2 linked regions of the Nothobranchius furzeri genome follow. Each later gene encodes a partner of the first gene's protein in a complex. Links are inferred from orthologs where the notes say so. Each region holds a gene or a part of one and is shown on either strand. Other genes may lie near its edges.

Region 1 (4,614 bases):
TAAAAAAAATGCTGTTTTTAGACAATAAATGTTCAAAATGAGCTTTGGGAATGTCACCATTTAACAAAGACAAGTAAGTGGTCTGACCTCTAACGAGGGAGGGTTTTCTGCCTGCTTCCAGCTTTTCTCAGTTACCATTTAATATGATTTCATTTCATTCCTTTGTAAATGCTGACTGTGTTTTAGCGTTTAGAATCAATAATATTCACCTTATTCTAATAAAAAGGCAAACATTGATGCACGTTTTTGACGTTTATTCATAATCAGAGGTTAAGCATGTTGATTAGCTTCAGAACGTAACTAGCTAGCGATGCTCCGTCAACAGTTAAACATTTTAAAGGCTGAAAATTGGACATTTTGAAACATTTTCCCCTTAAGGCTGGGAATATACTTGATTTTTAACCTCTCAATGATGCAGGCAGCAGGCGGCTGCTGTACTGCACGCAGTACTGGAGGATTCCACTAGGGGGCAAAGTAAGGCGCCACAATAAATGGCGAAAGTTTTGTCATCGTAATGTCGGCATGCTCAATATGCATATCACAAAGAACAGAAATAAACACAACGAATGTTCAGCTGAATGCACATAATGTATTTTTTCAATCAAACAGAAACATGAAGTTTATGACAAAGCACCCATTTGGCCAATCGGGTGGGTTCTTATAGGTTAGATGCGATATTTCAGCGTTTCGATACTGTATTCACATTTAAAATCACTGTATTGATTTTTTATTAAGACTGTTGGTGGCAGTAGTCTTTACTACCTTCATTCTAACAGAACGAGATTTAGCGATAACGCTGGATGAATTGCAATACATCTGCAGTGGTCTCTTGTACACATGAATGCCACGTGAGTCAATCTCTGCAGAAAAAAACTCTGGCCCTCATGTTTCAGGAACTAGAATGAGCCTGAGCAGAGGTGTGCAGAAGACGGCAGGATCTGGAGTCCTATTTCCTGATATTCAAACAGCTCGCCTCTGATTGGATAACAGCAACACGACCCTACCACTGACTCAGTTTGATCTGGAAAGTTGTTGTTTTAGCTCTACAAATACCACCAGCCTGAAGGGGTTCTGCCGTGTTGTGGAGTTGCTAATGCTAACAGTTAGCTTCTATTTGCCGAAACGCGCTTTGCTCTCTCCTGGATGCTAAATCAACAACAGCCTTCCCGTTAAGAGCCAAGATGGGTGAGTCCGTGAATGCTAATTTTACAATGTGACGCACAACTGACTGGCTCCTCTAGTCCAGACATTTCCCCATCGATTTTCTACGAGCAGCTAATGCAAGAAATGAAAGCAGAAGACCATTTTTTTCTGTTTAGCCTGCATGTGAAACACAGAGTAACCAAACATATCTCGAAAACGGTTTCTCAGTGAACTTGGTCTTTAAAATCTGATGTGAAGACGGTCAAAACCTGGATTATATGAAAACTGTTTGATATCATAAGTGGTTTCTGTTGGGCTTCGTTATTCTTCTGATATTCTGACCAGAATGTGTCGCACACATCATAAAGCAGAATATGCTCCCCTTAAACACATCCACAAGAGAGAAAATGTTTAGGGGGTGTTTGTTTTTGTTTCCTGCCACAAGCAGAAGCGTTGTGGTGACAGTAACTCACCTGCAGGTCACACTCAAACAGAGTGGCTCCTTTGGCTTTATTCACCACAGTGATCTGCTGAAAAGTCAGGAGGTCGTGGACATGGATGTTGTTCTCTGAAACAAAGGAGATTCTTGGATATGATTCATGATAGAATAAATAAATCACACACTGCATGTATCAAAACACAACTTTGAAATAAAAGATCCCAGAGAGGATTTGGTGATTAACTTTAAATCCAAATGTAAAAATGTACAATCGTAGTTAAAACTCACCAAGAAGGCTGACCAGAATTTTGTACTGTGAGACGACATAAAGCTGGAGAAAAAGTTAGGACACTAAATTGAAATGGTGCAGCAATTTGGTGCAAATTTACAGTCAAACGTTTATCTTGAGAGCAAAAACAAATTATGATTTTTCTATTTATAAAAAAGTTTGATACAATATGTTTACTATCCAAACAGGAAGTACATGTAAAGGCAACTTTACTCTTCAACATCATCACAAATCCTGTCCTACCTGCTGAATCTTCTTTGAAAAGTTCTTGTTGGACTTTTCTAAAGTCACTTCAAACCGGTTGGAGCCTGATGAGATATTAAGGAATTGTTTAAAGCTGGTTAGAGAGGACCGGAATGTCCGTCTGTACGCCCTGGGCTCTTCCTACCTGCATCCTTCTTTATTCTGTAGAGGAGGAGATGTCCTGGCTTAGTGCCGACCAGCAGCCAGTCCTCTGAGGAGACAAACACAGTCAGGAGCTCCAGTGGACTAACACATCTGCTCAACCACAGGTGTTAGACTCACCCCAGCCAGCGAGGCAGTCGATCTGAAGAGGAAGCTTTTCTAAAATAGGCACCGACTCATAGGCGTCGTGCATCTTGAAGCCACTCTTGTGGATTCAATTACCAACAGATCATTCACAACCTTTCCCCCCCAACGATCACTTCGGAGTGTCTGTGTTAAATAAATAATGTTGTAAAACTGCTCTGGAGTATCCTGTCTCGTCGCATTTGTGGTGTTATACAGTTGGGCTCGTCAAGACAGCTTCCTCCAACCAAAACAACAGCTGATCGTTACTGTTAGCTTAAAGTTAGCAGCGAACGGACACCGTTCTGACACTAAATCAGCGCTGAAGCAGACATTCTCTTATCGATACGATCTAACATGAGTGCAGCTGGCTCGTTAGCCTAATTATTAACAAATAACAACAATAACACTTTACTTTTAGTCAGATTGTTGTTGCTTTGTCGCCACTTCCTCAGATGCGTGGACAGCGCGTGCGCAGAATGGTGGTCTTTGACAGTAACGTGACCTGCGTGGTCACGAGTAAGGTCTTAAAGGTGCAACACTGAAATTTGTTACTGCGGTTAAACTGCGCAGCGCAGTTTTCACCGAAATAAACAATAAAGTACAGTTTAAACAATAATTTTGTTCTGAAAGATTTGTAGATTTCAACATTATGACAAATATGAGTGTTGAGAAGCTAGTTAAATAAAGCTATAAAAGCTACAATCATGGTTCAAGCTTTATTTCCTAAAGGTGTGGTTGACTGAAAAAACACTTTTTAAATGTTATTTGTGATTTAACATGGTCACTCTGAGTTTTCCATGCAGGCTGAACATGAAAACAGTCTTCTATCCACTTATCTGAGACATGTTCTCATGTAACGCAAGAGATGGGCTATCTCGCAATAGCTAATGCTAGGATTTGAAAACACTCACATATCTATGTCCCACTGTAAATTTGCATTCATGGCCTCACCCATCTTGACTCACATGTGCCCACAGGGAGGCTTTAAAAAATTGCAGCAAGGAGAGGGTGGGGTGTCTTGAAGATAGTGACTGCAACATGGCTGAACTTGTTCAGTTCAATTCAAAAATACTTTATTAATCCCAGAGAGAAATTGATTGCTGCTCAGAATAATAATAATAATCAAGTCATCAAAGAGTTATTGTATATCACAATGGCTGTTGGCAGGAAGGATCTCCAGTAGCGGTCAGTGTTGCAGCGAAACTGAAGAAGCCTCTGACTGAAGACACTCTTCCGTTGTCGGACAGTCTTGTGAAGAGAATGCTCAGGGTTGTCCATAATTTTCTTGATTCTCTGGAGAATCCTTCTTTGCATTATCTCCTCCAGCGGTTCCGAAACTGCCGAAACTCTGGCTGAGTCCTTGACAGGGCTTGGAGTTCCTCCATCTTGTTGGCCAGTGATCTCACATTGCCCATTATGATCGATGTAAGCAGAGGCGGTTTTACCAGTAGGCATAGGTCGGCGGCCGCCTGGGGCCCTCTTGTGTTGGGGGGCCCCCTAGCCCTGACCGCCAGCACCCCTCTGTTAATGCCGCAATATTCTTATTACCAACCTGTCACCGCAGACGGGATTGGACATGCTTCCCATTACCACAATTCCTAAACCGTTAAAGATATCATTAAAATTCCAAAAGTGCTGAAAAGATTAAAAATGAGGCTTTTCGTGCATATATGTCACAGAGTGGTAATGTTGCACTTACGTTATATTTTATATTGCATGTTTTACTTGTTTTTATTCTGATGTGCATGTTTTATTGATGGTGTGTTTTGTTGTTTGGTGTGTTAATCATCCCAATCGTCTTCACCTGCGGCGGAGTGTTGCCTGGACTGCAAATTAATGAACAGACGCAGGCAATACAGATTTTATTTAAAGGGAGGAACGCATGTACCAGGGGGACACAGAGAGAGAGAGCCAGGATGGCAGACAGAGCCAGCTAGGAGTAAGACACGCACCCCGGACGGTGTCTTGAGGACACATGTGCCTGAACCCCCCGCCGGAACGGAGGAGCACCCAGAGTACAGTTCTGGATGATGGATGGCGGCCAGGTTTTTGCTTTTTTCACTTTTAAGCAGATTTTTTAAAGGCTTTAATAGAAATAAATTCTAAATACAAACCATACACTGAAAGCTGAGGTTGTTCTGAAAAAAGGAGAAAAGTTACACACACTTTGCACTTTTTATTACAGTTTCACAGCCATAAGATTAAAAAATAC
Region 2 (3,316 bases), on another chromosome or scaffold:
CATCAGCTCTCGCTTACATGTGTGAGGTGGTTCTATTCTAATTTTCCCATTTGTGACATTACAGACAGGTACTTTTTGAAACGGCTTGCTTTAGACCCATAAATCCTAAAATACTGACAAAAAATGTATGGGAACTCCCCTGGATGATGGAGCTCTTCATCTTTTCTCCAAAGAAGCTCATTTTAGCTGCTTTTATTTGGGATCTTTTACTTTTGGTTATCCAAACCAGTGAGGGTGGGAATGTAGATGAACCAATAAATCAAGAGCATTTTCGTCCTTTTATTCTTTCAACAAGAACAAGTTATGAAGCACCGGCTACAACTGCAAAGCCCCAATCCACCGGCCCATCTTTTGCTCCATCCAGTCCTCACTTGTCAACTAGACACCCAAATAATTGAATTATATAAGGATGTGCAATAAAGCACAGATGAGATCTCTGCGACTACAAGATGAGATCTTGTTCATGAATGCCAGACAAACAGGATACACCCTGGATGAATCGACGCAAACCAGTAATGAACTTAAATTTGTACAGAAAATGAAGCTGTAGCTCTTGCATTGGCCGTAGAGAGCATCAAACTCCCGTGATGCACTCAGCAACTCATTTTGATGATTTATGATACTCTCAACCTAAGAAGCATTTTGGATGACATAAAGCATCAACAACACAGTCAGAGTTTATGTGATTTTATTCTTCATCACATTCAAGGTGATCTGGACAAAACACGGCACTTTACAGTTAGCAAACAAATAAAGGGTAACAGTTCTGTATTTTGGTGAGAGTACAGTTCATCAACTGAGGAAAAAAGATTCCTGTTCATCAGCGTACCGACGAGGGAAAAAAGGAGACAAAAAGCATCAATAACAACAACATGAGGGCATTAAAGTGTCACTTTTTCATTTCGAGTATTCCACTTCCAGGTCCTCGCCTCTTCGCACTGCAAATGTTACAGAACTGCACTCCAGGAATCTGGAAAAGTAAAAATGGGAACAAAGTGGAGGATGTTCCTGAGGTTTTCTGATAAAATAACACCAGAGTTGGGAAAGAGGTGTTTGAATGCAGACTTACTATTCCTGAAGACGGCAAACACTCCTTGTGAAACATGTGTCTGCAGTGAAACACCACCACACTGAAAGGCTGGGCCATGTCTGAAACACACACATGAAGCTGTTAATACAGTAAACATAAAAAAAAAAACAAAAAAAAAACACAGGGATCAATGACATTATCAACCCACCTGATGGTAATATAGTACCATGACACGACTCACAAATGTTCCCCTCTGAAAGAATGAACAGAATCAACACATTTAGGGGTTCATCTGCACTGGTTCAACACAAACTAGCAATAGAATCTGCTCCCACCATCGACCCGGACTCCTCTCATCTGGGTTCGATGCATCTTCTGGAGCAAGGAGAGGGAGTCGGCCACCAGGATCTTCTTACACCCTTCCCTTAAAAGAATCTACAAGTCGAGAAATAAAAGCGCGTAATTAAGCAAGTGAGTCAGAAGATTTCATGCCATATAAACCAATTAAATTACCTGTTAAACCTGTTATAACTCTTCAAAAAGCAGAACTTAATGGATTAATAACAAGTTTTTACATGAAGGAAGCTCCTGGTGTGTCATGTAATCTTTAAGCCACCAAAGAATCAGTCTGCAACCTGCAGACATTTAAATAAATAGAGTTTTTCTTTGAGAGAAGCCACCTGACCTGCAGGTTGTAGTCATGGAGGATTTTCACCAGCGAGTCCCTGAGATTCGGGATCTCCATGCCCTCCTTGATCCGATAGATGAGCAGAATCGGATCAACATGCGTGCCGATATTATTCAGGAGGCCCGTGATGAACGCTGGGTTTAGTGAGGGTGGAGTGAGTTAAAGACAATGAGATAAAAGTTCAGAGTCAAGTGACGTCTTACGCGGCTTGTCGATCGAGTACGAGATGAGGTCCTCCCACAGCTCTGCGTCATCCTGCTCTTTAGCGAACTCGATGGCTTTGTCCACGTCCTCCAGCTCCTCCATGATCATCTGCAGGGCTCGTCTACAGTTTCCCATCCTGCCTGAAAGACGAACGAGAAAAAAAAATTGCATTTGTTTCTCACGTTTCCCTTAACAGATGCGTTTGTTTCTAAATGTTTACTTAGCAGGAAGACCGTCTCTTCCACAAAGTTCCTCTGCTGACAAATCTCAAGAGCCTGGATGAAAACGACAAAGTTCAAGTAAGAAGAAATGACAGAAGCTTAATTTGTTTGTAATTCTGGTGGCAGGAACACACAGTACCTTTTCAAGAGGGCAGTGAGTGCTGTCTCTCAGAAAAGGCAGAAGGTTTGGCCGGTCGTATTCGGCGTACAGGCCGATCTGCTTCTCATGGTACTTCTGTCCTTTGTGGTGGTCCCTCTTGAACAGTTTATGGAGATACTAGGAGAGAAACGGCTTAGCCATCACGCTGCACCAATGAATTCAAATGAACCCCTAAAACATCCAAGTTACAGAAAACTCACCACATGCAGCAACTCAGGTCGACCATGTAGCTCCTCCACCACCCTGTCCATCTGTCGGGAGAGCCATGGACATCAGCTAGCAGCAAAGTTCTTACCAGGACATTCAAAACTGTCAAATTTACTCACAGAAATCTTGTCTTCATTGTCGAGAAGCATGTCAACAGCTTTCTAATGAAAACGTACACATTTAATTACATAAATGGTCTTTAGATGGACTAAATAATAAATAGGTTGGTTTGTTACCTCCTTATCAAAGTCCATCAGGAGGACGATCTTGTCCTCTATGGAGGAGAACAGGTTGTGCTTGTGGATCAGCTGGTAGACATCTTTGTGTCTCAGTCTCAGGTAGATCTCTAAAGCTCTGTCGTAGCGCTGGTCGTACGTGTACCTGAGAAAGCATCAAGTCCTGTTCAGCAACTTAACAAGAAGCTTAGATGAAAGCGAGCGCTGAGGCGACTCACAGCTCAGCCAGCGTGGTGAGCAGCGTGCTGTTGGTCGGATCCTTCTTCAGGTGGTCAGTGACGGCCTGAACGATGGCCATGTTGTTGTAAAGTTCTCCAGGCCACTCCCGGATCAGCGTGGCAAAGCCCTTCAGGAAAATAAGAAAAGGAATAAGATTAAAGAGCAATGAGTGCATTTCTATAGTAGGTACACACGTTAGTAGCTGGTTTTCAGCCATCTAGATCTAATCGTTTTTCCATTTCATTTTGTCTCCCAACCAGAAAACTTCTCTTACATCTTTAGAATTCTCCAGCAGGTGGAGGAATAATACCGCTGCACCATTTCTAGGAACTAAACGTGACCCACATCACA

What was found.
Region 2: vps39 (region 1) and vps41 share a complex: the UniProt entries of both Homo sapiens proteins name them as parts of the homotypic fusion and vacuole protein sorting (HOPS) complex. The link is inferred for Nothobranchius furzeri from reciprocal best matches to the Homo sapiens genes VPS39 and VPS41.

What each region holds. Positions count from the first base shown.
Region 1 is NC_091758.1:17,013,442-17,018,055, forward strand, and holds the start of vps39 (vam6/Vps39-like protein), read right to left. Parts: upstream 2,905-4,614; 5' UTR 2,815-2,904; intron 2,688-2,814; exon of another isoform or gene 2,547-2,687; 5' UTR 2,470-2,546; coding exon 2,397-2,469; intron 2,326-2,396; coding exon 2,260-2,325; intron 2,180-2,259; coding exon 2,115-2,179; intron 1,914-2,114; coding exon 1,871-1,913; intron 1,712-1,870; coding exon 1,617-1,711; intron 1-1,616. UniProt on the Homo sapiens protein: Regulator of TGF-beta/activin signaling, inhibiting SMAD3- and activating SMAD2-dependent transcription.
Region 2 is NC_091747.1:46,098,376-46,101,691, reverse strand, and holds the end of vps41 (vacuolar protein sorting-associated protein 41 homolog), read right to left. Parts: intron 3,093-3,316; coding exon 2,965-3,092; intron 2,892-2,964; coding exon 2,747-2,891; intron 2,672-2,746; coding exon 2,630-2,671; intron 2,555-2,629; coding exon 2,504-2,554; intron 2,421-2,503; coding exon 2,283-2,420; intron 2,198-2,282; coding exon 2,143-2,197; intron 2,063-2,142; coding exon 1,922-2,062; intron 1,853-1,921; coding exon 1,716-1,852; intron 1,466-1,715; coding exon 1,366-1,465; intron 1,284-1,365; coding exon 1,239-1,283; intron 1,150-1,238; coding exon 1,070-1,149; intron 971-1,069; coding exon 890-970; 3' UTR 672-889; downstream 1-671. UniProt on the Homo sapiens protein: Plays a role in vesicle-mediated protein trafficking to lysosomal compartments including the endocytic membrane transport and autophagic pathways. Acts as a component of the HOPS endosomal tethering complex.